3 linked regions of the Macaca mulatta genome follow. The protein of the gene in region 2 purifies or fractionates together with the protein of the main gene of each other region. This does not show direct contact. Links are inferred from orthologs where the notes say so. Each region holds a gene or a part of one and is shown on either strand. Other genes may lie near its edges.

The links. Proteins that work in one complex are often made in the same cells at the same time.
Region 1: the proteins of POP1 (region 2) and RPP38 purify together in Homo sapiens (affinity purification with mass spectrometry; 3 studies listed by BioGRID and IntAct, with this or other methods). This does not show direct contact. The link is inferred for Macaca mulatta from reciprocal best matches to the Homo sapiens genes POP1 and RPP38.
Region 3: the proteins of POP1 (region 2) and RPP25 purify together in Homo sapiens (affinity purification with mass spectrometry; 3 studies listed by BioGRID and IntAct, counting the BioPlex papers as one, with this or other methods). This does not show direct contact. The link is inferred for Macaca mulatta from reciprocal best matches to the Homo sapiens genes POP1 and RPP25.

The regions. Positions count from the first base shown.
Region 1 is NC_133414.1:16,668,893-16,679,538, forward strand, and holds the start of RPP38 (ribonuclease P protein subunit p38), read left to right. Parts: upstream 1-4,151; 5' UTR 4,152-4,217; exon of another isoform or gene 4,218-4,563; intron 4,564-9,017; exon of another isoform or gene 9,018-9,127; intron 9,128-9,381; exon of another isoform or gene 9,382-10,084; 5' UTR 10,085-10,094; coding exon 10,095-10,646. UniProt on the Homo sapiens protein: Component of ribonuclease P, a ribonucleoprotein complex that generates mature tRNA molecules by cleaving their 5'-ends. Also a component of the MRP ribonuclease complex, which cleaves pre-rRNA sequences.
Region 2 is NC_133413.1:108,511,268-108,521,264, forward strand, and holds part of POP1 (ribonucleases P/MRP protein subunit POP1), read left to right. Parts: intron 1-100; coding exon 101-188; intron 189-633; coding exon 634-821; intron 822-2,642; coding exon 2,643-2,899; intron 2,900-3,021; coding exon 3,022-3,115; intron 3,116-6,234; coding exon 6,235-6,346; intron 6,347-6,945; coding exon 6,946-7,065; intron 7,066-9,997. UniProt on the Homo sapiens protein: Component of ribonuclease P, a ribonucleoprotein complex that generates mature tRNA molecules by cleaving their 5'-ends. Also a component of the MRP ribonuclease complex, which cleaves pre-rRNA sequences.
Region 3 is NC_133412.1:52,904,153-52,913,354, forward strand, and holds RPP25 (ribonuclease P protein subunit p25), read right to left. Parts: upstream 5,061-9,202; 5' UTR 4,991-5,060; coding exon 4,391-4,990; 3' UTR 4,196-4,390; downstream 1-4,195. UniProt on the Homo sapiens protein: Component of ribonuclease P, a ribonucleoprotein complex that generates mature tRNA molecules by cleaving their 5'-ends. Also a component of the MRP ribonuclease complex, which cleaves pre-rRNA sequences.

The DNA of each region.
Region 1 (10,646 bases), on a different chromosome or scaffold from region 2:
CTCTTCCTCTCGTGCTCTCACTGGGTCTGGTGGTCCAGGGGTCTTACTCCTTGGAGGCCATATGAGCTCTACCACCCTGTTACTGTAGCCAAACTCATCGTCCTATCAGGAAATGTGTTTGACAAAGTGGTCATCGAGGGCAATGCCAGCTCCAGCATCGAAGGTGAAAGAGTGGGTGTCGCTGTTGAAGTTGGAGGAGATGACCTGGTGCTCGGTGTAGCCCCGGATGCCCTTGAGGGGCCCTCCAAAGCCTGCTTCACCACCTTCCTGATGTCATCCTATTTGGCAGATTTTTCCAGATGGCAGGTCAGGTCCATGACTGACACGCTGGCAGTAGGGACACAGAAGGCCATGCCAGGGAGCTTCCGGTTCAGCTCAAGGATGACCTTGCCCACAGGGCTTACCTATCTTATAGAAGAGTCTGACAGGGGTGTTTCTCATCTATGTCTCTAGTTTAGTTGAGACTAGGGCTTTCCATCTTCTCCTTTCTCTGCACCCCCTACAAGTTGCTTCACTTTAGGACAGAGCCACAGGTTTCTGTGTAAGTCTGGAACTGCTTGCTGAAGTTTACAGTTTGTTCCTTGACAGAGTGACCTACCACTCATAACACCTGTCATCCGACCTCTGAGACTGGCAATGCTGTCCCATGGGATTAGAGATGCAGGGAGCTGACATCATGTTGGTCTTGATTTTGCTGTTTTGTGAGGCCTGAGAATTGCTTAACTGCTTGAAACTCCTCACCTTCACCTTGTCTCTGTGGACATAGATATTCCTTGGAGTACTATACAGTCCCAATTAATAGAGCTTTCAATACTCATTTTGCAGCTCATCATTAAAATTCATGCTTAGTAACTGATGTAAAATAACGAATTGTTTACCTAACAACTATTGTTATACATGATACCACACACACACACACACACACACACACACACAGAGAGAGAGAGAGAGAGAGAGAGAGAGAGAGAGAGAGAGAGAGAGAGAGAGAGAGAGCGCGCACTAAGGTCAGAATACCATGGAGGAAAAGAAGAATAGAAGAATCTGGTGGTCAATTCCCTTACATTCTTCTGTTGACAAATTTTCTTGTTGGGACCTTCACTTATTTCATCAAAAGATGGTGGCTAATTATATAATTTATTACTCAGAAGCTTTTTATGTATTTATTTGTTTTGGAGACAGGGTCTCACCATGTTGCCCAGGCTGGAGTGCAATGATGTGATCATAGCTCACGGTAGCCTCCACTTTCTACGCTCAAGCAATCCTCCAGCCTCAGCCCCAGGAGTAGCTGGGACTACAGGCACACACCATGCCTTTTTTTTTTTTTTTTTTTTTTTTTTTAGATACGGGGTTTTGTCATGTTGCCTAGGCTGGTCTTGAACTCCTGGGCTCAAGCAATCCTCCTGCCTCAGCCTCCCAAAATGCTGGGATTACAGGTGTGAGCCACCACAGCCGGCCATCACTCAGAATCTTAAGTCATTGTCAAACAATGGAAAGCATACAAATCAAACAGTAGTCCAATTCTAGAATATAAAAAGAAAGCTCTAATATTCAAAGACCAAACAGATTTTACAGGACTGTCATTACTGTCATTAAAAAGTAAAACTGGCCAGTTGTGGTGGTGCGTATCTGTAATACCAGCACTCTGGGAGGCCGAGGTGGGAGCATTACTTGAGCCCAGGAGTCTAAGACCAGCCTGGGCAACATGGTGAGACCCCATCTCTACAAAAAGTACAAAAATTAGCCAGGCTTGGTGGCATGCTCCTGTAGTCCCAGCTACTCGGGAGGCTGAGGTGGGAGGATCACTTGTGCTTGGGAGGAGGTTGCAGTGAGCTGAGATGGTACCATTTAGCCTGGGCAACAGAGCAAGATCCTGTCTCAAAAATAAACAAAACAAAACTGATTCTTCAGAATAGGATATCAAATATGTAAAGTAATAATTTGAGAAACATGAAAAAGTGTTATGTGTGAAGAAAATCAGAAGATTGAATCTGTATTATTTTAATGTAAAAGCACGCACATATGTGAAACAAAGTAGAAGGGAACACTAAAGAAAAAATGGGTGTGATTGGGTCATGGGAGCATGTTTGTTACTTTTTGGTTGTAATGTCTGTGTGATACAAGAGGGAGAGAAATTACTTTCAAAATGTACTTGTTAATTTTAGCAAAATCCTTGTAGAAATTAAACTGCTAGTTTTAAAATAAAACACAAGCACTAAAATAATAGAGGTTATGTTTCATTTTTATTAACTTAGTTTTGCCATGGTTGAGACTGGATTCACCACAGTTCAATTTATCAAGCACTTAACTATGTGTTCCGCACATAATAATCATCTTAGCATAGAGGATCATCTCTTCTAATCCTCACAAGAGATACTATTTTTATCACTTCATAGAGGAGGTTAATAAACTTGACTAGGTCATAAGATCTTCAGTTGAAGTTAGGATTTCAACCCAGAGCCAAGTAATGTAATGGCTGATGTTTTCCATAGAGAAAATGTAAGCTGAGATGATGCTCAAACTATAAATCTGGAACCTTAGGGGGACAAAAACGTATGGATGTCTCCTTCCTATTACTTTAGCATTTTAATTAGACCCGTGTGTCTCTATTTGTTTTTGGACATGCAAGCTGCTTGCAGTTCATCATAGCGAATTCACACAATTCATTTGATGAAACACAAACCTGTTCTTACAAACTCACTGTCATCTCTTTTTAATCTTACTAATTCCGATAAAAATCACATTGCACTTTACCCTGTGTCACCTCCAATGATCTCTGACCGAAAGCCAAATCTTCTTTGTGTGTTTGCTTTATGGACAGTTAGGTTCTACACAGGTACTTAAACATGAAAATTGAAATCATAGAGGCTGGGCACCGTGGTTCAAGCCTGTAATCCCAGCACTTTGGAAGGCCGAGGCAGGCGGATCACCTGAGGTCAGGATTTCGAGACCAGCCTGACTAACATGGTGAAACACTGTCTCTACTAAAAATACAAAAATTAGCTGGGCTGGTGGCCTGTGCCTGTAATCCCAGCTACTCAGGAGGCTGAGGCAGGAGAATCGCTTGAACCCGTGAGGCGGTGGTTGGAGTGAGCCAGAATCACGCTATTGCACTCCAGCCTGGGACACGAGGGCGAAACTGTCTCAAAAAAATAATAATAATAAAGCACAGAAACTATACCAGAAAATAGGAAACAAAACGAACAGTGAAGAGAGTGAGAAAAGGAGGCAGATATATAGAAGAGGAAAAGGAAGGGGGCCCAAGTGAGGCCGGAAAAACCGGGGAGGAGGAGGTGGCTCATTAGGTCAGAAGCAACCTGCCGTCTTCTAAGTTCTGGCCAAGGGTAGATCAACGGATCCAGAATCCTGAGTTTTAAAATGTTATTAGGCTGCTTCATCACTTGTCCCTGACGTTGCAGCGACTCCGATGGTAACTTTAGTCTCCATTGCTTGGAGCAGCCACAGTGTACACCGGACAGGATATTCCGCGCAGCTGTTGCTGAACTCAAGGCAACTCCTATCGCCTTTCTCTTTTCGGAGCTCAAGATTCCTTGCATTATTGCCCATAGGCATGTGTTTTACCCCACACTCCTTCTCCCTTTTATCTTGATTTTCGTGGTGCTGGGGAGTCTGCAGGGATTCCATGGCGACGGGTTCACTGGGACAGGGGCTGGGGTTGTGCGTCCCTGAGGCAAAGCAAATACAGAAAAGGGAATAGAGATAGAGGGCTAAGACTCCCAGGCACTGAAAGGTAGAAACTGGGTTATAAGAGAGAGGGGAGCACAGACGCCCGGAGAGAGCCTGCCCTCGGGATACCACTGGCGGTAGGCTGGCCTCCGAACAACTAGAAGGTCCAAGCCCTGAGCGTCTGGTTACCCGGGCAACTTTATGGTCTCGCGATACAGACCTCGCGCCTGCGCACTGCCGTTGTAGGGGGCCCAGTCCGGAGCCTCCACCCCGGGGCCTAAACTCGAATCTAAAAGATGGGGCCTCGTTGTGTTGTTTCCGGGCCGCGCGACGCTGTGGGCTGCTTTCCCCTTTCCGGAGTGACCTAACACAGGATAACGAAACCTGCAGTGCTCCTAGCGCTTCCGCTCCGCCCCGTCGCGTCTGGGAGGCGAAGCCGGGAGGCGAGCGCTCTGCGCATGCGCGGCGCAGGCGCACTTGGAGCCGGTGCTGCAACCCTCAGGTAAAGGCGGATCCGCCACCGTGAGTTCCAGGTGGGCGCGCGCGGGGCCCACGTAGGGCAGGAGGCCAGCCCCGGGGGGATCGGGCCCGGGACTCCACGGAATCTGGAGGCCGAAGCCCGCGCGCACGCAAGGCCTCCGCTGCTTCCCCGACGCCTCTTGCGTGGCCGCGGAACTCGCCGCCCTCTCGGTTGGGCTACCCAGTCCCGGGCCAGTCGTGTGCACCCAGAGCTTCCGCGCCTCTCCTCGGGCTCCTCTGCTGGATTGCAGCGCCGTCTGGGCACCAGGAGTGCAAAGCGAAAACCGCACGCCGGCCGTTCTGTTCTCCACGGTCTCCAAGGAGACACGGACCGATCCAGGGGCGGCGTGCAGTGGGGAGGTGAGCTTTGGGTCGGCCGTCGCCCCTCGGCTACCGGCGGGATCCAGAAACCGGAAGTCACCACCGATACCCTTCTCACCTTTACTCCCAGCTGGTCACTACTGTGTCGGGAGATTCTACCTTCTTTTCCGACTAACATGTATTTCTCTCCAGTCCTTTCTGCGGTGTCTCTAGTGTAGGCCACCGCCATTTCTAACCTGGACGACTCCGGGGGCGTGTTTGCTGCTCAAGGATTCTTCCTTTGCCCAGATCCACAAAGATCTATAACGTCTTTCTAATCATGACGCCTCTGCTTTAGACGTTAAAGTTGCTTCACACTGGAAGGCTTGCAAAGGTCTTCATTATCTGGTCCTTACCCACCTTTCCTAGTTTCTCACTGCTTTCTCTAGCATCTCTTTCCCAGCCACATTGAACTTATTGGAACTTGCTTGCTTTTTTTTTTTTTTTTTTTTTTTTTTTTTGAGACATAGCAGTCGCCCAGGCTGGAGTGCAGTGGCGCGATCCTGGCCCACTGCAACCTCCTCCTGCCGGGTTCAAGCGATTCTTCTGCCTCAGCCTCCCGAGTAGCTGGGACTACAGGCGCGCGCCACAACGCCCGGCTGTTTTTCGTATTTTTAGTAGAGACGGGTTACCATGTTGGTCAGGCTGGTCTCGATCTCCTGGCCTTAAGTGATCCGCCCGCCTGGGCCTCCCAAAGTGCTGGGATTACAGGCGTGAGCCACCTTGCCAGCCAACTTCTTTCTTTTAATGCTGAGATACCTTTCTTTACTCCATACTCCCTTTGGTTGGCATTGTTTAGATGTAGGTTGAGAGGTCCGGCCGGGCTCCTCTTAGTCCCAGACTAAGTGCTCACGCCTGTAGTCCCAGCACTTTGGGAGGCCGAGGTGGTTGGATCACAAGGTCAGGAGATCGAGACCATCCTAGCCAACATGATGAAACCCCATCTCCACTAAAAAAAAAATAAGAAAATTAGCCGGACATGGTGACGCGCGCCTGTACTGTAGTCCCAGCTACTCGGGAGGCTGAGGCAGGAGAATCGCTTGAACCCGGGAGGCAGGCGGAGGATGCAGTAAGCCGATATTGTGCCACTGCACTTCAGCCTGGCGACAGAATGAGACTCCGTCTCAAAAGGGGGGGAAAAAAAAAGCAGTTCCTCTATGAGGACTGCCTTTTCCTACCCCCTCAACTAAGCTAGGCCTCTGCTGGATATTCCCTAAGCATCCTGTAGTTCCCTGACCTTCATGTGCATCAGGCTTTATTGTATAATTACCTGCTGATATTTTTTCCTTGTGGACTGTAACCTCACTGAGGTCTGCGACAAAAAAAATACTTATGGCCTGGCACATCCTGGATAATCCAGAAAGGTGGTGCCTGTGGCTGAGGGTGGGAGTGGTATTCCAGGCAGAGGGACTAATGTATATAGACTTGAAGGTGGGAAAATGCTGGCCTCATTAAATAGTATGTGGTTCGGTGTTGAGGTCTTGTGCTTGGTGGGGCCTAAGGAGAAAGAGGCTGGTGGGAGATTGAGACTGGAGGTTGGAGGGCCTTTTATGTCACATTAGAGTTTGGGTGGGGCATGATAGCTCATGCCTGCAGCCCAGCACTTTGGGAGGCCGAGGCTGGGGGATTGCCTGAGCCTACGAGTTGAAAACCAGCCTGGGCAACAAAGCAAGACCCTGTCTCTACGGAGTTGTTTTTTTTGTTTGTTTTTTTTTTGTTTTTGTTTTTTTGAGACAGAGTCTTACCCCGTTGCCCAGGCTGGAGTGCCGTGGTGCGATTTCGGCTCACTGCAGCCTCTGCCTCCTGGGTTCAAGCGATTCTCATACCTCAGCCACCCAAGTAGCTGGGATTACAGTTGCGCATCACCACACCTGGCTAATTTTTGTATTTTTAGTTTAGACTGGGTTTCACCGTATTTGCCAGGCTGGTCTCGAACGCCTGACCTAAAGTGATCCATCCAGCTTGGCCTCTCAAAGTGCTGGGATTACAGGCGTGAGCCACCGTGCCCAGCCTATACAGAAAATTTAAAAATTAAAAAACTTTTCTGGGCTTGGTGGTGTGCGCCTATAATCCCAGCTACTTAGCAGGAGGCTGAGGTGGGAGGATCGCTTGAACCCAAGAGTTCAAGGCTGCAGTGAGCCATGATCAAACGACTGCATTACAGCCAGGTGACAGGGCAAGACTGTCTAGAAAAAAGTGTTTGCCCTTGATCTATAGGCAGCAGAGGACTCTTGAGACACAGCTCTAAAAGGACCTCAGCAAAGCCTTATTTTTCTCCCTTTCTCTAAAGCTATAAAATCTTACCAGTCAGTATTTTGTTTCTGGATTATATTGCATGAGATTATGCTTATCCAAACTACTTGGCTCTCTTTATCTCCCTAGCAGATTCTGCAGGCGGGAGAAGTTTATAGCCTGTTTTGTGATCCCTCCGGAGCATGGTTTTAAGTATTTACTCTGTGGTGTTTGGATGCGGAGACATGATCTGACTTGCAGTTGCCAAGAGCTCTGTTCCATCCTATTTGTTTCACCCCTCTGTCACTTATTTCCCTCTTCCTGACCACTCTGAACCTGATGCCAGCCCCTCGCAGTCACCGCATTGCATCTGGATGAGCCACTTTTCTTCCTGATTCCCTGAGCTCTGGGGAGCACAAAGATAATGGGGTCAGGGGGCAGTGTGGCCACTGTGAAGGAAGCAGCTTAGGCCCCAGAAGTCTCCAGCAGTGGGCAGTACCGAGACGACCAGGGTGTGATCTCTCACCCCAAGGAGCTGAATTTGGGTTTTCTGTGGGAAGGTGTCTGGGAAGAGTATCAGAGACCAATAGCGCTCAGGGGGCCCTTCCTCGGGGCTGTCCAGCATGGAAGCACCCCGTCCTACACCAGTGGTTCCTGATTGCGGTTCTGAATCAGATTCACGGGGGCATTTATTTACTTATTTATTTTGATATGGAGTCTTACTGTCGCCCAGGCTGGAGTGCAGTGGCGCGATCTCAGCCCACTGCAACCTCTGCCTCCTGGGTTCAAGAAATTCTGCCTCAACCTCCCGAGTAGCTGGGATTACTGGCAGGCACCACTATGCCTGGCTAATTTTTTTGTATTTTTTAGTAGAGATGGGATTTCAACATACTGGCCAGGCTGGTCTCAAACTCCTGACCTTGTGATCCACCTGCCTCGGGCTCCCAAAATGCTTTGGTTACTGGCATGAGCCACTGCACCCGGCCTAGGGCAGCTTTTTATAAGCACAGATGCCCAGGTCTTATTCCTGAAGATTCCAATTCAGTAGATCTGGGTTGAGGACCAACCATCTGCCTGTTTTAAGAAGCCACAGGTTATTTTTGAGGTGTAGCAAGGATTGAAAGAACAGAAAACTTGGAATTTGGAAAACTAGTTGTGACTCCGGGCAGTGAGTCAGTTTCCTAATGCACACATTGGGGAATTCTATAGGAATGCTGTGAGAAGCAAATAATCCATGGAGAGAGTGCTTTATACAGCGATACACTACTGAGGCACACTTGCCTTCAACATCAGCTACCAGCCTAGTAAATGGAAGTATAAATGGAAAGGACATAACTTCCTTTAGTTTTGCCAGGTGGGTCCCTGTGATTCTAACTGAGCCCCAGGAAGGAAGGGAAGAAAATAGGGAAGAGAAAGGAATGTGTATTTGCCTCTGGGAAGGATAAACAGGATATGCCCTCTGGACCAGTAGTTTATAATATTTTCCCCATTAAGCATCCTTCTCATTTTTCCTCAATGGATTAATATCTTTAAATTTCATTACATTTCCCTAGTCTTCATGAAATTGCCAGCCAGAAAAGTCGGCTCGGGGCCCCCCTAAAAAGGAGGAATGGCCGGGAGTGGTGGCTCACACCTGTAATGCCAGCACTCTGGGAGGCTGAGGTGGGTAGATCTCCTGAGGTCAGGAGTTCGAGACCAGCCTGACCAACATAGTGAAATCCCGTCTCTACTAAAATTACAAAAAGTAGCCAGGCATGGTGTTGGGCGCCTGTAATCCCAGCTACTCTGGAGGCTGTGGCAGGAGAATCAATTGAACCTGAGAGGCAGAGGTTGCAATAAGCCGAGATCGTGCCACTGTACTACAGCCTGGGCAACGAAAGCGAAACTGTCTCAAAACACAAAAAAAGAAAGGGGAGTGTATGCCTGCATACATATCAAGTGCTGTAGGAAGGATATTCAAGAAATTTAGGGCCCTGGGAGGTGGGGAGACTTACAAAAATGGACATGACAGAATTATTTGAAGTCTTAATCATGAGATGACTGTTCAGTTCTTTAAAATACCACACCTGATTGGTTTTGAATGGCAGAGGCCACCAGAGTCCTTGCAGATTGTGCGCTCTGCGTGGGTGGACATTGTTTACCGTGAGCCCCAGGACCTAGAACGCCACTTGCACACTGGAGGTGCTCAGATCTTTTTTTTTTTTTTTTTTTTTTTTTTGCAGATAGAGTCAGATGTGTTACTGGGCACCGCACGATCACGTTCACTGCAGCCTTGACCTCCTGGGCTCGAGTGATCCTCCCACCTCAGTCTCCCAAGTAGCTGGGACTACAGGTATGCCTCACACTTAGCTAATGTACGTATTTTTTTTTTTTTATAGAGGGTTTCTCCATGTTGCTCAGAGTGGTCTCGAACTCATGGGCTGAAGTGACCTGTCCACCGCAGCCTCCCAAAATTCTGAGACTGAAGGCATGAGCCACTGTGCCAGGCCTAGAGTATTTGTTGAATGAATGAATGGAAGCCCAACTAGACGGCATTTGGAAAACAGTAACAAGTTATAAGATTAATACCATACAGTCACTAAAAGGTTAATTATGAACAAGTAGAAACAGCATATTTTTAATAAATGAAATAGACGAACGGAATTGTACTACGATTGCAATAATGAAAACTTTCACATATTGCTTGTATAGGAATAAAGAAAAAGTCAAAAAAATGGGGAAAATTAAACCCTGGTCATCCATTGTCCTGAGTTTTTTTTAAAGGGCCCCAGTGGAGCATTTAAAATGGGGTAAGAAAAATGGGGAGAAATAAAATTACTTAATCTTTAAAAAGAAGACAAGTGTATGCTCACCTAATTGGACTTATATAATGAGGCTTGCTCTAGCTTATCAAGAATCAGAATACAGGCTGGGCGCAGTGGCTCATGGCTGTAATCCCAGCACTTTGGGAGGCCGAGGCGTGTGGATCACCTGAGATCAGGAGTTTGAGACCAGCTGGGCAACATGGTGAAACCCCGTCTCTACTAAAAAAATAGAAAAATTAGCTGGGCTTGGTGGCGGGTGCCTATAATCCCAGATACTCGGGAGGCTGAGGCAGGAGAATCATTTGAACCCAGGAGGTGGAGGTTGCAATGAGCCGAGATTGTGCCATTGCACTCCAGCCTGGGCAACAAAAGTGAAATTCTGTCCCAAAAAAAAAAAAGAGAGAGAGAGTACAACCAAGATACTCTTAAGTTATGCAATTGTCACTAACATGAATTTTTTCTGTTGTCATTTTGCTTCTTGGAAGGATTTTTAAAATGGCTGCAGCTCCTCAAGCACCGGGGCGGGGATCTGTCCGTAAGACGAGACCTCTGGTTGTGAAGACGTCGTTGAACAACCCATACACCATCTGCTGGAGCCCTCTGGAGAGCGAGGATAGGCACTTCATCCTACAGACGCTTGAGGACAGGCTTAAAGCTATTGGACTTCAGAAGATTGAAGATAGGAAGAAAAAGAACAAAACCCCTTTTCTGAAAAAAGAAAGCAGAGAGAAATGCAGCAATGCTGTTGATATTAGTGAGGATCTGAAGGAGAAAACAGACGCTAAGCAGCAAGTGTCAGGGTGGACGCCTGCACACATCAGGAAGCAGCTTGCCATTGGCGTTAACGAAGTTACCAGAGCCCTGGAAAGGAGTGAACTGCTGTTAGTTCTGGTGTGTAAATCAGTCAAGCCTGCCATTATCACCTCACACCTGATTCAGTTAAGCCTCAGCAGAACCGTCCCTGCCTGTCAGGTCCCCCAGCTCAGTGAGAGAATCGCCCCCGTCATTGGCTTAAAATGTGTTCTAGCCTTGGGCTTCAAAAAGAAC
Region 2 (9,997 bases):
TGTGTCTTAAGCCTCTAAAGGTTTTGTGATGTGGCTTTTGGCTTCTTAGCAGTTTTGCCTGTGTAAATTCCTAAGTACTTGTGTCTCCCGCTTTGTGCAGGATTTATCCTACTACTGTTGTTTGGAGTTGAAAGGCAAAGAGGAAGAAATACTAAAGGCACTTTCTGGAATGTGTAGCATAGACACAGGTAAACTTGTTTTAAAGCTGAGTTCTATTTTAGTCTTTATATATTTATTCCTTTCATAAAGAAGTGTCTACTGTAAGCATTTTGGAATTCAAACATATAGAAAAATGTGTGAGACACTAATCATTCCTGATGAAAATATTAATTTAAGAACAGTTGGGTTGGCTTTTAAATCATTTCTAACATTGTCAAGTTTTACACTTGACAATGTGATAGAGTCATTTTTCTGGTGGGGTGAACTTGACAGAAAGAAACTTGAAGCTCTCATTATTCATTTAACACATATTTGTTGAGAACTTACTGTGTGCCAGGCTTTGATCTGAGCAATCCTCACAACCAAAACTTCACCTCTCATGGAGGCAGACAGTGAATGACAGTGTGGCTATCAGGAAATAGGACTGCAGTCTCAATACCTGGAATTATGGAATTTTGCTTTTGTTGATGTCAGGACTGACGTTTGCAGCAGTTCACTGCTTGTCTGGAAAGCGCCAAGGGAGCCTTGTGCTTTATCGGGTGAATAAATATCCCAGAGAAATGCTTGGGCCTGTTACGTTTATCTGGAAGTCCCAGAGGACCCCTGGTGACACTTCTGAGAGCAGGCAGCTGTGGATCTGGCTGCATCCAACCCTTAAACAGGTATAATCTTTCAGGTTAGCTCCTATTATTCTGAAACTGCATTTTTAATTACAGCTGGAAGTCAATACTGTAGAAATGTACATAGTGTAAAGATTTGTCTGATAGTCTGATATTTGTATATGGGAGGCTCTGTGAATATTGAATGAAGTGAATTTTTAAAAAACTTATAAAATTTGTGTTTAAAAATGTCTAGTTGACAAAAAGCAAATATATTCGCAGTATATAATATGATGATTTGATGTACATGTTGTGTACCACAATCAAATAACACATCCATCACCACCCATGCTGTACGTTAGATCCCCAGAACTTGTTCTTCAAGTAGAATGAAGTGAGGGTGGGGCATGGTTTCTCATGCCTGTAATCCCCCCACTTTGGGAGGCTGAAGCAATTGGATCGCTTGAATCCAAGAGTTTGAGAGTAGGTTGGGTAACATGGTGAAACCCCGTCTCTGCAAAAAAGACAAAAATTAGCTGGGATTGGTGGCATGCGCCTGTAGTCTCAGCTACTTGGGAGGCTGAGGCAGGAGGATCACTTTGAGCCCAGGAGGCAGAGTTGCAGTGAGGTGAAATCGTGCTATTGCGCTCCAGCCTGGGTGACAGTGAGACCCTGTCTTGAAAAAAAAAAAAAAATGAAACTAATCCTGACCTCTCATATTTTTAGTAAGTCATAAGTAGAAGTAGAGATAAAAACCAGCCTTATGCTAATTATTTGAAATGTTGAATTGGAACTAATGTTTCTACCATGACTGAAGTGGTTCACTAGTATCTAGGTGCTAATTGGAGCCTATTTGATAATGAAAAGCTATTTCTGAGTACTTCTGATGATTTTTCACACTGAATTCAGCTTAGCTTCCCTTCTTTAGCATACTCACTACTTAAAAAAAATTTAGTCAGAGTGATCATGTTGTTTTCATAATATTTGACTAACCCTACCCCTAACCCCAGCCCTAACCCATTTTAAATTTTAAATTTCATTTTTTTTTTGTTTAAAGTGACATGCACTACTCAGAACACCCCAAAACGCTTTTTTAAAAAATTAAAATTAGGTTAAAATATATATATATTTTTTGAGACAGGGTTTTGCTCTGTCACTGAGACTTGAGTGCAGTGGTGCAGTCATAGCCCACTGCAGCCTCTACTTCCTGGGCTCAAGTGATCCTCCTACCTCAGCCTCCTGAGTAGCTTAGACTACAGGGGTATGCCACTGTGTCCACCTAAATATTTTTTTATTTTGTGTAGAAACAAGGTCTCCCTATGTTGTCCAGGGTGGTCTCAAACTCCTGGGCGGAAGCCATCCTCCCGCCTCAGCTTCCCAAAGTGCTGGGATTACAGACGTGAGCCACCACACCTGGTCCAAAAAAGCTTTCTGGTGATTAATTTAAGTTAATCTGTGAAGGGATAAAAATGTGAATTTTTTTTTTGAGATGGAGTCTCGCTCTGTTGCTCAGGCTGGATTGCGATGGCATGATCTCAGCTCACTGCAACCTCTGCCTCCCAGGCTCAAGCGATTCTCCTTCCTCAGCCTCCTGAGTAGCAGAGATTACAGGTGCCTGCCACCACACCCAACTAGTTTTTGTACTTTTTAGTAGAGGTGGAGTTTTGCCATGTTGGTCAGGCTGGTCTCAAACTCCTGACCTCGGGCGATCTACCCACCTCGGCCTCCCAAAGTGCTGGGATTACAGGTATGAGCCACCATGCCCGGCCAAAAATGTTAATTTTTAAAGCGATAAAAAAAAAAAACAAAACATAACCCAACTAAATTTGTCATAATATATTTAAATTTCAGGATTTTAAAGTGAATATTTAAATATATTTTTAGGATATCTTAGAGGAAATAAAAGCAGCGTGCCAGTGCGTGGAACCTGTCAAATCAACTGTCTGCATCACTGACCCACTTCTGACACAATCCCAAGAAAAAAGCCAAACTGAATTGCCTGATGAGAAAATTGGCAAGAAAAGAAAAAGGAAAGATGATGGAGAAAATGCTAAACCAATTAAAAAAATTATCGGCGATGGAACTAGAGATCCATGTCTACCATACGCTTGGATCTCTCCAACCACAGGCATTGTAATCAGGTATGAGTTGAATTTACTTTGAACCTACTGAATATTTTCAGTGAAAACTTGCTCTGTTTTTGTCAGTGGCACAGATGTTGTGTGATGGAAGTTTCCATTTTAAGATCTTCTTTCTTTTTCAGCGATTTGACGATGGAGATGAACAGATTCCGGCTGATTGGGCCACTTTCCCACTCCATCCTAACTGAAGCAATAAAAGCTGCTTCTGTCCACACTGTAAGAGTAAAAGTGATGGTAGTGTTTTATTCTAATTATGTTTTTCCTGTCAAATTTGTGAAACCTAATATATAATTTGGTAACATTTTGGGCCATGGCTTTTAGATGTTTATTTCCCTACTTATTATCAAAGATTTTGTTATCTTTCACTTCTCCTAGAAGACCACAACTAAGTGGATATGATCAGTAAACTGACTGTTCTTATTTAAATATAGACTGCTCTGGTAGCTATGAGCCTTGTAGAGGGTCTTAACTTCGGCTTCATAGGTAGGGAGTCTCTAAAATCCCTGAAATTGTGTGCCAGATTTTGTGCATTTGTGCTTGTGCCACGTAGGTTTTCTTTCTTTTTTTTTTTTTTTCCCCAAGATGGAGTCACGTTCCGTCGCCCAGGCTGGAGTGCAATGGTGCAATCTTAGCTCACTGCACCCTCTGCCTCCCGGGTTCAAGCGCTTTTCTTGCCTCAGCCTCCCGAGTAGCTGAGACTATAGGTGCGCACCACCAGGCCCAGCTAATTTTTGTATTTTTAGTAGAGACAGTGTTTCACCATGTTGACCAGGCTGGTCTTGAACTCCTAACCTCAGGTGATCCACCCACTGTGGCCTCCCAAAATGCTGGGATTACAGATGTGAGCCACCACACCCGGCTGGTTTTCTGGGGCTAGTTTTAGGACTCTAGAATCCCTAAAAAGGTTAAGAGCACTATGTCTAGGGCAGAACTTCCAGTAGAGCTTTCTGTGAGGATGATGTTCCTTTGTGCTGTCCAGTACGATAGCCGTTAGCCACATGTGGCAGCTGAATACTTGAATTGTGGCTGGAGTGACTGAGGGACTGAATTTATACCTTTACTTAACTTTAATTAACTAAAAATTAAGTCTGAGTAGCTCTATTGGCAAGTGGCTAGCATAGAGACTAGATTAGGAATCCGTACCCTAGGTTCAGGTCCAGTTTGTTTTCTGGTCTTAGTGCAATTAACTTTTCAATGCCTGTGCCTCTCACTGACTTGACATGGTCAAATATGATGATAGAGCTGAATAGATTCTGAGTTTTTAGAAGTTTTTAAAATACAAAAGCTACTTTTCTCCATCTTCACTGCCTCTGCTCTACTCTCAACCAGTGTTGTCTCTTACCTGAACACTTAGGGGATCAGGAAAGGATTCTAGAGGGAACCTTAAGTTTCCTCCATTCCTCCTCTTTTTCAGCCCATTCTCCACACAGGAGGCAGAGTGATTTTTTGATAATTTATTCACCTCTTGTTGCTTCCTGATAAAAAGTTTTTGAATAGCTTCTCATTATAATTAAGATAAAATCCAAAGTGCTCAATGTGACCCACGTAATCTTGTGCCTTCTTGCCTCTGAGGCCTCATTTCTTCTCACCTTCTACACTTCAGCCACCCTGACCTTCTTTCAGGTTCTAGAATGTCAGTTCTTGTCTCCCTTAGAGCTTTTGCACCTGTTTTTTTCTTCCAACTACTGAGCATTCTGCCTCCACCACTCTTTGCTTGGCTGAACCATCCTCATTCTTCAGGTTTCAGTCTCTAACATTTCCCTCTAGTATCCTTTCCTGATCCCCCAAGTTAAACTACATCCCTCCTGTTGTTTTCAGAGCATCTTGCAAATTTCCTCAATTTGTATGTATGGATTTGTGTATTTATGTAATGTCTGTGTCTCTCACGAGACTGTGAGCTTCATAAGGGTGAGGATAGGGTTGGTCCTGTTTTTTACTCCCTCCCCAGTGCTTAGCACAATGCCTGGCACAGAGAGGGTGCCCCGTAGTAGCTAATAAGTTGTGGAGCAAAGATTTGAACCTACGAAGTTTGGTTCCAGAGCCTGTACTATAAACCACTAAGCTGTGCTACCTGAGTTTCTGTGAGTAAATGGTACCTTTGCTTTTGCTTTTTTTTTTTTTTTTGTGAGACAGAGTCTCGCTGTGTCACCCAGGCTGGCGTGCAGTGGCACAATCTCAGCTCACTACAACCTCCACCTCTTAGGTTCAAGCAGTTCTCATACCTCAGCCTCCTGAGTAGCTGGGATTACAGGCGCCAGCCAACACACCTGGCTAATTTTTTGTGTATTTTTAGTAGAGGTTTCGCCATATTGGCCAGGCTGGTCTCCAACTCCTGGCCTCAAGTGATCCGCCTGCCTCGGCCACCCAAAATGCTGTCATTACAGGCGTGAGCCACTGCACCCGGCCATGATTGCTTCTTTAGGATCTGTAAGTGCACATCCTACTTCAATGAACTTCAGCATGAGTTGTGGCTATAGATTCCCTTCTTGCCATGCACATGATACTTGAAGAGCTTTTTGAAATCTTCCTCAATTCCTAGTTCCATGTGGAAAAGATAAACATTTCTAGGAATACTGTAGTAGTAGTATATCCTTTATCTGGAGAGTTCTTCAAGAGGTACTGGTTTGATTTTCCTTCGGTGAGGAACATTTTATTGCTTACATTGGAGATGATGAAGTTAGCTCTAGTGGAAGAGGACCAGGCGCGGTGGCTCACACCTGAAATCCCAGCTCATTGGAAGGCTGAGGTGGGTTGATTGCTTGAGCCCAGAAATTCAAGACCAGCCTGGGCACCATAGTGAGACAATGTATCTACAAAAAATAAGTTTAAAAAATTAGCTGGACATGGTGGCGTGTGACTGTAGTTCCAGCTCCCAGCCACTTGAGAGGCTGAAGTGGGAGGATCACTTGAGCCTGGGAGATTGAGGCTGCAGTGAACCGTGGTCGGGCCACTGCACTCCAGACTGGGTGACAGAGTGAGACTGTGTCAAAAAAATAAAAAAAGGTAAGAGAGGAGCGAGGCCTCCTTTGTTGGTACTGTGCTCTGGAGAGACTGGGTGTGAAGTATCTTAGTGAGTTAGTCTATGAAAGCCATAGATGATTTTCCTCATGTGAAATCTTGAGAGAAGTGTAATACTATATCCTTGCTGCTAACTGAAAGAGTAGTCTGGTATCAACTACTATGTTAAGTATAGTGGCAGCTTCCCTGGTTCACCCCATAACACATTCATTTCCACACACAGAAGAAGAAAGAGTGGGGGCTGATATCACAACCATGACAAAATTATGAGGGTGGATTCATTGTTCGCCCGGTGAATAGCGGTTGTTGTTTTTCAGGTGGGAGAGGACACAGAGGAGACACCTCACCGCTGGTGGATAGAAACCTGTAAGAATCCTGACAGCGTTTCCCTTCATTGCAGACAAGAAGCCATTTTCGAGTTGTTGGGAGGTATACAAAGGGAAGACCGGGTTGTGTTGGGGAGGGAAGGGGGCTAAAAGAGCCTTTTGCAGTTGGGCCTCCAACGTGTAGTATTGCTTTTTAACCTGCTGCTATTGTGACACAGCAAGAGGACCAAGTAAGAGAGGGACTGAACTCAGTGAATAAACACTATATTCATGCCTGGTCATGAAACAACAAACAAATGAGATGTTCATATTCTAAGTAACTGGCATTCTGATAGTGGAGATAAATGCATACGCCAGGTACTGACCTAAACTCTGTACTTACCTGCACACAACTGTGTTTTTGCTCATAGCTGCTATAGTTATCACTGATAGAAGCATATGTGTTCATTTCATAAAAGAACCTTTTTTTTATGTTGGCTTCATGTTTTTTTGTGAGAAACCTCATTCTTTATGAATGTTAACTTATTCTCTAAAAGTATCAATGGGAAGAGAGGGAATACATGCTTTTAAGTAATTAGTCCAAGAAAAATGTTTCATTGGAAAATCTGAAAGATTTAAAAATACAAACAAATATAGATGTATTATGAATGACCTTCTGTAAGCTTCTTTTGGTTGTTTTTGTTCTTTTTGTTGTTGTTAAAGGAATAACATCACCAGCAGAAATTCCGGCAGGTACTATTCTGGGACTGACAGTTGGGGATCCTCGAATAAATTTGCCCCAAAAGAAGTCCAAAGCTTTGCCCAATCCAGAAAAATGCCAAGGTAAAGTTCTAAAAACACCCCAGGTTTTCCTTACGATTTTGAGCAGGCCAGTCTTATTAGAAGAGTTCTGTCTCTGACACATCTCCAGTAACTTCATCTGTAAAAAATTAGGGCAGTCTCCTTACCTGCCCACTTTACAAACTGATTATGATCTGAGGAAATGGTACATGTGGAAGTGTCTTTTAGCTGTAAAACATGTAGCCTGATACTTATGTTCATTTTATTTTCCGAGTTCTCTTTTTTTAGTATCTAGTAAAACCTGTCTCTCTGCAAACTACGTTCTCTGAAAATGTCTGGTGTTTCAGAATTTTAATTGTGAGGAAGGGATCTGCACCCGAAGCTGGTCTTGTGCTCAGTGGAAGCCTCTGTCTGACCATACAGATGATCCAGGTTCGAATCCTGGCAAGGCCATCCCAGGTGCTGAAATATAAGATGTTTTGCTTTAGACTAAGTAGAATGGCCTGAGAAAGTTGTTTGGCTGGGGTGGCATAGGAGGTGGGTAAGGGGCTGGCTAAAATTTTGTTCTGATCTGAGATTGGCGGAAATTTTGATAGTGTCTCATTGTATTTACTGTCATTTAAACATGATCAGTTGGAGGAATAATTAAAATTACCATGGCAATCTTTGGAGGTAAAGTACAGGTTTGTGTTGTAACGACTTCAGAATTTTTTTTTTTGAGATGGAGTCTTGCTCTTGTCACCCAGGCTGGAGTGCAATGGCGTGATCACTTCTACCTCTGCGTCTCAGGTTCAAGCGATTCTCCTGCCTCAGCCTCCCGAGTAGCTGGGATTACAGGCGTCCACCACAACGCCTGGCTAATTTTTTTTTGTATTTTTCGTAGAGATGGGGATTCACCAAGTTAGCCAGGCTGATCTCAAACTCCTGACCTCAGGTGATCCACCCAGTTCAGCCTCCCAAAGTGCTGGGATTACAGGCATGAGCCACCACGCCCGACCCAGAATTTTTTAAAAATGTAGTTAGATAGCTTATTGAGGGGGCAATAAATTACTCTGTCAGAACTTCACATAAAAGGTGGATTGGATGAGAGAGGAGTTTGAAGATACATAGGTAAGTTAGTTAATTATGAAGCCTAAGACTTCACTCAGTGAGTCATTGCCTCTTTCTTTTCTTTTCTTTTTTAATATCGATGTGGTCTGGTGCAACGTAAAAGTTGCAGCATTTACTACACCATTAAATGTTGACTGTTATAATCACCTTAAAGCTATAAACTCTACTTAGTTTCTCTTGCTACCTCAAATCCTTTTTTGGAATGAGGTGATTATTAAATCCTCTCTAAGGCTTTTGTTTTAATATGAATCAGCTCAAGGAAAATTAAAAGTCTATCTTGAAAAACGTGATTTAATTTGACTCCTGAAGTCAAGCAATCCTTCTGCCTCGGCCTCCCAAAGTGCTGGGATTACAGGTGTGAGCCACCATTCCCAGCTAGAGAGCTTTTAAAAGGGAGGGTACATGAAGAACCTGAAGTGATAATGAATATTCTTAGATGCTTTGGAAAAGTTTGCTTGATCAGCTGGTTCTAGAATTTGAATTAAATCTTAATAATGTGTTTCTGCAAATCTTTTCAACTTTATTAACACAACATTTCACTATATAAGTAACTGGTTTTCTAGGTGAGATTTAAAAATATAATTTCTGCTGTACTAGCTGTTATTTTATTTGCGATCTTTAGTATTTGCCATTTTGCTTTGATGGATTATTTTAATTAGTTCTTACCTGTGAGAGATCAATTTCCTTTAGGAAATACTGAATTTACATCGTGCTCGTGGGCTTATCATCTTTCCCTTTGAACACTCTTTGGACTTTCCCGTACTACCCAAAACATGGAAGGAGAACAGCTGCCTTTGGCGTGATAGGCTGCAGGTCGTCCTTTATATTTTAGAGCTCTTGCAAGCACTTTGAGAGCACTGACCTGCAGTGGACTTGAGCAGTGCCCAGTTAGCAGTCATTTCTCCGCTTCCCCTGGGCCCTTTGAACTGTTTTGCATATTTTATTTAAAATAGTTTAATCTGAAGGCTATAACTTTGTTTTTATTTGATTTCCAAATGAGAAAGCCTTTTACTGGTTACCTTTGCTTCTCTGAGTAAAACTCATTAAAAGAAAGTTTAATGTAACATTTGGTGATTTTTAAACACGTTTAAGAAAGAAGAAAGCCAGCACCTGTAAGTCACATTCTGGAGTTAATATAATCAATTCAAGAACTTTTGTCTGTGAAAGAAAACATGCTTTATATGAGTCTGGGGGAAGGACTCAGAATTACATTCACAAGTGGCAGTCATTCTAGGCACACTGATGTGGGTACTGATTCTAGGGTACTGATGTGAGTCTCAGCTGGGGGTATTGTTTTTCTCTTCCCAGTAAAGACTATTGACCTAAAAGGGCCTTCCCCTTAGCCTTCAGACATACTCCACTTTGTTGTAAATAGACTTTATTTTTTAATGCAGCTTTAGGTTCACAGCAAAATTGAGCATAAAGTACTAAGATCCCATGAACTTCCATCCCCCTCTATGCACCGCCACCACACAGTCCATGTCCTTACTAGAGTGGTACGTTTGTTACAGTCCATGAACCGATATTAACACATCATTATCACCTAAAGTCCTCAGTTTGTATTAGGGTTCACTCCTGGTGGTATATATACTCTATCGATTTTGACAAAGGTGTAATGACATACTCACCATAATAGCATCATACAGAATAGATTCACTGCCCTCCAAATCCTGTGTGCTCTGCCTATTCATCCTTTCTTTACCCCTAACTTCTGGTAACCACTGATCTTTTTACTACCTCCATAGTTTTGTGTTTTTTAGAATATTATATAAATGGAATCATACAATACATAGCCTTTTCAGATCGGCTTCTTTCACTTAGTAATATGCACTTAAATTTCCTCTATGTAGGCCAGGCATGGTGC
Region 3 (9,202 bases), on a different chromosome or scaffold from region 2:
CTCCCATCTTCTATCATCACACTGTGCTGTAACTTCTTATTTGTCTTTCTCTCCATTAGACTAGGCCCCCCCTTTTTTTTTTTTGAGATGGAGTCTCACCCTGTCACCCAGGCTGGAGTGCAATGGTGCATCTCAGCTCACTGCAACCTCCACCTCCTGGGTTCGAGCAATTCTCCTGCCTCAGCCTCCTAAGTAGCTGGGATCACAGGCGCCCGCCACCATGCCCGGCTAATTTCGTATTCACCATATTGGTCAGGCCGGTCTTGAGCTCCTGACCTCAGGTGATCCCCCCGTCTCTGCCTCCCAAAGTGCTGGGATTGCAGGCGTGAGTCACCACGCCTGGCCAAGGCTGGGCCCTCTTTGAGGTACAATGTCTGATTATGCTGTGATTCTGTACCCAGCCCCACCCCATTCCTAGACTGGGTCCTGGTACAACAATGAACGCTTGCTGAATGAATGAAGGCCCAAGTGGAAGTCCACCACCCATCTGACCATGAGCTCTGGGCCTTGCATTATATACTTTTATGTTTCCAAATGGATTTTATTTTTGTGAACTAACAGTTTTCTAGGTGTGAGACTTCACTGCCACTCCTAGTCTGGAAGTGTCCTAAGGCAGGGCCAAGGCAAGCACCAGGCTGGGTCCCGGAAGTTCCTGGGTAGAGACCACTATTGGAAAAATGGGGTCTCACAAGAGGGGCTCTCCCACTCTGCCACTAGTTGGCTCTTGAAGTGGGCCTTGTCTCTGAGGTGCTCCCCTAGCCGCCCCTCCCTTTATCCCAGGACTTCTGAGGTTCCCACTTCAGCCTTGGTGGTTTGGAGCTGGTAGAGGAACATCTGTCACCTTCTTTTGGAGCCTGCTCGTAGGTCAGTGGGGCCAGAAATCAGCAGGGCAGAGATGGGGTGCTCATACATGCTGGGTCCCATTGGTGAGTCAGCGCACCTACTTTTGGAACCAAAGCTTCGGACCTACAGCGCACCTACTGAAAGCTTCGGAACCAAACTTGCTGGGGTGTCACGGGGGTGCAGAAAAGAAAGTGTTTCGTTACCTGCTTGGGGGAAGATTAATGCTTTGATGCTGGATAAACATGTTCCTCTCTTCTCTATCCCCCAGGATAGGTTTCTGGGCTGGAAGGGAACTTTTCCGTCTCATCAAGAGAAATACGCTGCAGGCTGGGGGTGGTGGCTCACCCCTGTAATCCCAGCACTTTGGGAGGCTGAGGCAGGTGGATCACTTGAGGCCAGAAGTTCAAGACCAGCCTGGCCAACATGGTGAAACCCCGTCTCTAATAAAAATACAAAAATTAGCTGCTCATGGTTGCCCACACCTGTAATCCCAGCTATTCAGGAGGCTAAGGCAGGAGGATTATTTGAACCTGGGAGGCAGAGTTGGCAGTGAGCCAAGATTGTGCCACTGTACTCCAGCCTGGGCGACAGAGTGAGACTGTCTCAAAATAAAATAAAAAAATAAAAAGAGGTCGGGTGCAGTGACTCACGCTTGTAATCCCAGCACGTTGGGAGGCTGAGGCGGGTGGATCACCTGAGTTCAGGAGTTCGAGACCAGCCTGGCCAACATGGTGAATCCCCATCTCTACTAATAAAAAAATTAGCCGGGCATGGTAGTCCACACCTGTAATTCCAGCTACTCCGGAGGCTGAAGCAGGAGAATCGCTTAAACCCAGGAGAGCTGAGATTGCACCACTGCACTCCAGCCTGGTGACAGAGCGAGATTCCTTCTCAAAAAATAAAAAAAATATTAAATAAATAAATAAATAAATAAATAAAAAGGCTGGGCATGGTGGCTCACACCTGTAATCCCAGCACTAGGTGGGTGGATCACCAGAGGTCAGGTGTTTGAGACCAGCCTGGCCAACATGGTGAGACCCCGTCTCTACTAAAAATACAAAAATTAGCTGAGTGTGGTGGTGCATGCCTGTAATCCCAGCTACTCGGGAGGCTGAGGCAGGAGAATCACTTGAACCTGGGAGGCAGAGCTTATAGTGAGCAGAGATTGAGCTACTGCACTCCAGCCCGCGGGACAGAGTGAGACTCTGTCTCAACAAAAAATAAAAATAAAAAAAGAAATCCATTGCAGCCTTATCTCCGTAACAAGACTAGCAGGCCCTGCTTTCTTTTTTTTTTTCGAGACGGAGTCTTGCACTGTCGCCCAGGCTGGAGTGCAGTGGGGCCATCTCGGCTCACTGCAACCTCCACCCCCCGGTTCAAGTGATTCTCCTGCCTTAGCCTCCTGAATAGCTGGGATTAGGTGTCCACCACCACGCCTGGCTAATTTTTTGTATTTAGAGTAGAGATGGGGTTTCACCATGTTGGCCAGGTTGGTCTCAAACTCCTGACCTCATGATTCACCCGCCTTGGCCTCCCAAAGTGCTGGGATTACAGGATTACAGGCATGAACCACCACGCCCGGCCTCAGGCACTGCTTTCATAGTCCTGGTAACCCAGCAATCAGTCACTAGTGGTCTTGGAAAGTTGGCCCCTTTTTAGAACCAAGACCAGTCTCCCTTAAGCTTCTACCATGCAGGACCTTGTCCAAGTTTTATCACTGCCTTTAGATGCTGAAGTCCAGGAGAAGCTAGGGCATCTTGTCAGGACAGTTTACATTCTTTCCATGCTTCCTGGGCCACCCCTGAGAGGGTCAGACAAGCACAACCAAACCCCTTGGCCCTCTCCAGGGACTCATCAAGAGCAGGAATTTGGGGAGAGCAACGAGGGAAAAAGTCTGGATGACAAAGCTCACTGATCCAAAGCTCAAGCAGAGATAACTGCAGGAGAGGGAAACCTCCCTAAAGAGCCCCTCCAGTCAGCCACAGAACGTATCTCTTGTCACCAGCAGGATTTATTTCAGGGTTCTGCCAGCAAAATGACTTATAAATACATTCTTCCGCATCTCCCCCTTTCCAGGGGTGCTGCTGAGTTGCATGGGATGAGATCTACTTCTGAGATCCTGGGGCTGTATCCCACCCCCAACTCACCAGAGCTCTTCCAGCACACAGCACCACCCCCACCCCCCAGCTGGCTTAGAGTTGGGCAGAGAAGCTTATGAGGCTGTTATCTCTCAACAGACAGCTGTGCAGGGCTGGAGGCAGCAGCTTATCAGGAGGCCTGCAGTGATTCACAGCCCAAGTCCCAGCTTCTCTGCTGAATAGTAATTTCCAGCAGTGGATTTGCGCTCAGTCTCTCTCCTCCCCTTTTCCCAAGGGTGTGCTGTCCTTTCTCAGAGAGAGGGCAGCGAAGGGGAGATCCTACTCACGGAGCTGGGGGCTTTGTGCCAGCCTTCTGGGTAAGGTTCAGTTTATTGTCTGGAGGCTGCAGGTTCAGGGACCTCAGCAGGGTCTGCCACCCTTTGCAGTGACCTCCAGGAGAGTTCATCCATGCTCTCCTTCCACTCCTTCCTTTCCCTCCCAGAAAAGCAATGTGCCACTCCCTTTCCCTTAGTGGTGATGTACAGGGGAGCATGGGCCCCCCATGGGCCACAGCCCCTGAAGCCAGGGCCAGCCCGGGAGGGCAGAGTGGGGGAGGAGAGAGGAAAAAGCCAGGGACTGGGAAGTGCCTTGCACCATTTTGAAGCTGTCCAGTCTCTATGCCTGACCCTGAAGACTCCAAAGGATCAGGACGCAAGGCTGGAGGGGAGGGGAGACACAAAGGGCCAGGCCAGAGCTGTCTCTGCACAGGCGGGTGGTTAGAAAAAAATTTGGGGACAGAGCCATTTTTGTGCTTGTTTTATTGGAAGCAAGACTCCAGTTGCAGGGCTGGGGGAGGAGGCCTGGAGAGTTCAGTCCTGGGTCTCCCTCTGGGCCAGCAGGGGGAAAAGGGGTGTTAAAAGAGCTAGAACCCTCAGAGATGCTCCTCTGAAGCAGGGGAAGGAAAACTAGAAAGGAAAACTGTCCCAGGGCGGGGAGTGGAATAGGACCCCCACATCTCAGACTCTCCTACCCTCAAGCAGTCAAGTCTCACCCCCTGCCTTCTCTGTCAACGGTGGGGGTGATTCCAATAACTCTTCTCGGCTTCCGCACTCCAGGTGCCCTTCGTGAATGCTGGGTGGCTTTAACCCTTGGGGGTCCCAATCAAGTTTCCAGAATCCCACTGTCCACCATTCTCCCCCAAAGAAGGTCCCAGAAAAGGTGAAGGTGAAGTTCCGTGTCTTCAGGCAACACGGGCATAAGCAGCAATCATCGCACGAAGTTTCCCTAAGGTCGTCGGGGATCCTCTCCTGCCACTTCTGGGGCCCCTCTCTTGTCGCCTTAAGGTCCATGCTACCTGCCTTGAGGAGCTGTGTCCAGGTTGTGGGTTCCGGAGGACCGAGGAGTGAAAGGCTGGAGGTGCATTTGAGGGTGGAGGCGCTGGCGGAAGATCCCGCCCACAGTCCGGAGTTTTAGGCCGTCCGATCCTCGTCCGCAGCCCCTGGCTCGGGTTGCGATCGCTTCGCGGAGCCTTCTCCAGCTGCGGGTTCCCCTAGGCTCCTCTTGGACGTTGGCGCGGCTGGCGGGGACGACGGACCAGGATCGGGGTTCGGGGGCTGGTAGCCGGGCTGTCGCGGATCCAGCGCGTCCTTGGAAAGTAGGATGGCGAGGCTGGGCACGTTCTTAAGTACGCTGAGACTAGCGACCGGCTCGCCAGGCGTCTGACCCTGCGTGGGCCCAGGCGGGAGGCTCTGCCACACCTCGCGCACGCTCCGGTAGCGCAGCCGCGTGACCTGGTGCAGGCCCGCCAGGCGGCGCTTGAGGATCTCGGCGCACGTGACGGTTTTGGTGGTGGCCCGGCCGCAGCCGCTGAAGACGATGGCGCGCGTGGCTGGCTGCGCCATGCTGGCGGTGGCGAAGGCCATCAGGTTCCGGATCTTGCTGCCTTCCTTGACCCGCATGTGCACCGCGCCCGGCGCCAGGTCTGCGAAGGGGCCAGAGCCCGGGCCGCCCCCCTCGGCCCCGCCCCCCGCTGGCGCCTCTTCGGAGCGCACCTTACGGAAGTTCTCCATGCGCCGTCGTCGCCGGGACCGCCGGCTTTGCCATGGGGCGGCCTCAACCCCGGGGCTGCATGGCCGCCGGTCTCGCCCTGCAAGGGCCCGCAGGGGTAAGGGCGCGGAAGCAGCTCGGACGCCGGCGGGCGGGTTGGGACGGCGCGATCTCGGCCCCACTTCTCTCGAGCGGGCGCCGCTCTACTCCGCGCTCTCGGCGCCCGGTGCTCCGCGCCTTTAGCTGAGGCCCCGCCCCTGCCGCCAGGCCCCTCCCCTGACCCGGCCCGGCCCGGCCCGGCCCGCCCGGGCCCCAGCCTCACCAGCCTTTCGTGGCAAGTCCGGGTCCTCAGCTACGCGGGCGTGGGAGCGGGCGTGGGAGCGGGCGCGCTGCGGGGCGCATGGGCAGGTGAAGGTGAAGTTCCACGACAATCGCCATCAGCGCTCTCCGAGCCAACCCTCACAAACCGGCAGCCTAAATAAAAGCTGCGCTTGCGGTGCAAACACCAATTCAAACCCGGTATCCTAGCCCTTCCCCGTTGCAGTTGAAGGCCGCCCCTCGTCCCCTCCCAGGGAGAAATTTCCGAGAGGCTTGCTGGGGCCTCGCCCCTCCTCTCCCCGCTGGGGAACACCCCCACCTTTTTTCCGCTCCCAAGTATTCTTGCCTCAAGGACAGCTAGTGCGCGGTCAGCAGAGTGCGGGAGGAGCTGGCTGCGGCTCCACTCCGCGCCTCCCCTCGGGCGACTACGTCGCGGCGTGGTCCTCGCGGGGCGCGGGAGACCCAGGCTTCAGCCTCGCCACGCCTGTCTAGAGCTCGAGGCTCCCGGACCCCCGTCCACCCCTGGGACGTGAGGAGTGAGGCTTTGGGCCAAGCTGTTCCCCGAGGCGCGTGAGGAAGCGGGCGAGACCTCTTCTGAAAAGGCGGTAGGCTCGCTCCACCTATGCCCGAGAGCCCACCCTTAGGGCTGCGCGCTTTAGGGTGAGCCAGGCACGATGCCATGCCAACGTGGCCGCCCCTTTCCTCCCAGGCGAAATTCGATCAGGCAACCTTGGCCCCTTGAGATCCAGTGGGTCTTTTTTCGAACGGAGGCTGGGTGAACGCAGGTTTTAAGAAAGAGAAGGGAGGGGCCGGGCTCGGTGTCTCACACCTGTAATCTCAGCACTTTGAGAGGCCGAGGCGGGCGGATTACTTGAGGTCAGGAGTTCGAGACCAGCCTGGCCAACATGGTGAAAACCCGTCTCCATTAAACATACAAAAATCAGCTGGGTGTGGTGGTGCGCGCCTGTAATCCCAGCTGCTCAGGAAGCTGAGGCAGGAGAAGCGCTTGAACCCGGGAGCTGAAGGCTGCAGTGAGCCGAGATCACGCCACTGCACTTCACCCAGGGTGACAGAGTAAAACTATGTCTCAAAAAAAAAAAAAAATTAATTAATTAAATAAAAAAGAAAGAGAAGGGAGGGAAAGCCCATTCTCCATGATGTGATTATTATGCATTGCATGCCTGTATCAAAACATCTCATGTACCCTCTAAATATAGACACCTATTATGTACCCACAAAAATGAAAAAGAAAGACTTTAAAAAAATAAAAGAGAGAAAGAAGGGAGGAAGATGGGGAGTTGAAGCCCTGGGGGCATTATAGAGCTACTGGATGCCTCTCTTTGGAAACTCCTCGGGACCGAAGGAGAGGCCCGGGGTCTCCTGCCGGGTGAGAGAAGCATTAGAGAAAGATGAGATTGGGGCTGTCAGGACTACTGATGGAAGGGAGGGGGTCTGAGAAGGGGCCCTACCCTCCCTAAAACTGCCCTCGGGCCTCGCCTGTCCTCCTTCCACCGGCCCCACGCAGTCAGGACTGAGGGAGGTCGGCAGATCTGGTCCCAGCCAGGGGACTGTGACGGGGCGTGGCGGGGAGGGACACAGAGAGCTGGGGCTGGCAGGCAACCGGAAAAGTGCTGGGGGCATGACGGTGCCTAGGATTGCTGGGCCTCAGTTGGAGATGAGGCTGCCAGACTATATTCTGTCTCCTCCCGCTGTTCTCACCTCCTGGGCATCAGCAGCAGCTCTCAGTCCCTGCTGTTCAGAACCGGGGTTTACCCCCTTACCACTTCTTGGGAGTGGCTGCGGCGCCTGGACCTTGGCACCCCAGTGTGTGAATGGCTGACCCCGTCTCCTGGTGGAATCAGGAACCCTCGGGGTATGCTCCGAACCAGGACTTCGGTCTCGCTCCAGTCTCCGTGGGCCCCACACAGCGGTGGGGGCTAGAGGCACAGCAGCCTTGGGAAGATACAAAGACTGTCCGCAGCGCGTAGCGGGGCGTGGAGAGCCGAGGGCTGTGTAAGGTCAGGCCCTGAGAAAAAGTCCCCGAAAGGCTGGAAGTAACGTTGGAACGGGCTGGTTGTGGAAGAAGAGAGCTCTCCGTCCCCGGGGCTATGCAAGCTTGGGCAGCAAGATCACTTGGAAGGGATTAGGCGGAGTTCTGTCATTTGGAGGAAGAGTCCTGGGAGCTTCGGGTTTGTGTAGGGCGAGGACAGGGCGGTTCTGCGTCCGGCCAGGTTGGCCCTCTATGACCCCACCGCCCCCACCCTCCTAAACTGCTGTAGAACACTCGCATTCACTGCTCTCCACAGTCGGTGAAGGGAGAACGCCGAAAAGGCCCGCATCCCCTCCTGCCGGTCCCCTCCTCTTCCCCCGCTCCCTCTGCAGCACTTAAAATGTAAATGTACATCGTGATTAGCCGCGGGGTCGCTAATTACAGCTGAAGCCATTCATTACACTGTCAGCGCGCGTCGCAGCCCGCCGGCTGTGCGCTCCCTCCTGGCCGCGGAGGGGTGCGGAGGGTGGGGGCGGGAGATGAGGGGAGTGAGGGCGGAAGGATGGGGTGCTGTGAATTAGGGTAATGTAGCAGGCCCGGAGGAAGCTGGAGTGGGAGAGAGCGGGCAGCGAGCGGGGGAAACAGGGTGGGCGGTGAAGGACTGGGCGGGGTGGCCAGGAGAGAGGAGAAACGCGGGAGGCAGGAAGGAATTGGGGCATGAAGTAGTGAGGACACAGGCAAAGGGGCTGTATGAGGGGGGAAACAGCGTAGGGGACATGGCGAAGGGAGAAAAAGCTGTGAAGAGGGTGGGAACCCCAGTGAGCGGCCAGAGTCAGAGGAGGGGAGCAGAGGGCTCAACTTCAGAAAGGCTGGTAAATAAAGTAGAGCATCAGTGGTGCACACCACACAATGGTTAGAAAAGTGGAATCAGTCAAGATGTTGTGTTAAAGGAGCTGGGTGCCAGCCATACACACAGTAGGGGAGCATTTATTTCCGTGTGTGTTTATAGATGTAAATGTATTTTTAAAATATCTGCAAGAAAACAGCACACTGACCTCTTGTTACCGCATTAAGTTTTCATTACCTTCTTTAAGAAAAGAACTATTAAATATGAATACAAAGTTAAATACAGAGTCTTGTAGCAGCTTGTATAAATGAGCTACTGACCCTGAAGCTTCATTTTCTATTAGCTTCTTTCTGCCTCTGTGTGACCTGGGACAATTTACTTAACCCATTTGCCTTGGCTTTGTCATCTGTAAAATGGGGCTAATTATAGTAATCTACCTCACAGAGTGATTATGAGACAGCCACCTTGGAACCTTGGCTGCTAAGTTCTTGGGGAATGTTAGCTGTTACTATTTTTCATATATTATTTGTGATTAAAATAAATTTTAAAAAAATTTAAAGGGATTGGGGAAAGAAAACTGGTGAAAAGGAAAAGAAATTGGGAAAGCCTCAGAAATAATAGCTGTTTTCACTCACAGTGACCTGGTGAGTGGCAAACTAGACTCCTTTCACCCTGGGAGGAGGTGTTGGTGTAGCTAGACTAGAGCCCAAGCCTAGCCAATACATCTCTGTTAAGGTTCCCTGGGACCTTTCCAGCAGCACACCCTACTTCCTGTGGACAAATCTCTCATGTTCACACTGAAGGGGGATCCCTGGTACAGCCCCTCTCCTCTGTCTCCTGTTGCAGGAGGAGGATGAGGAGCTCTTTTTTTTTTTTTTTTTTTTGGTGATGGAGTCTGGCTCTGTTGCCCAGGCTGGAGTGCAGTGGCAGGATCTCCACTCACTGCAAGCTCCGCCTCCCAGGTTCACCCATTCTCCTGCCACAGCCTCCCGAGTAGCTGGGACTACAGGTGCCCGCCACCACGCCTGGCTAATTTTTGTATTTTTAGTAGAGATGGGGTTTCACTGTGTTAGCCAGGTT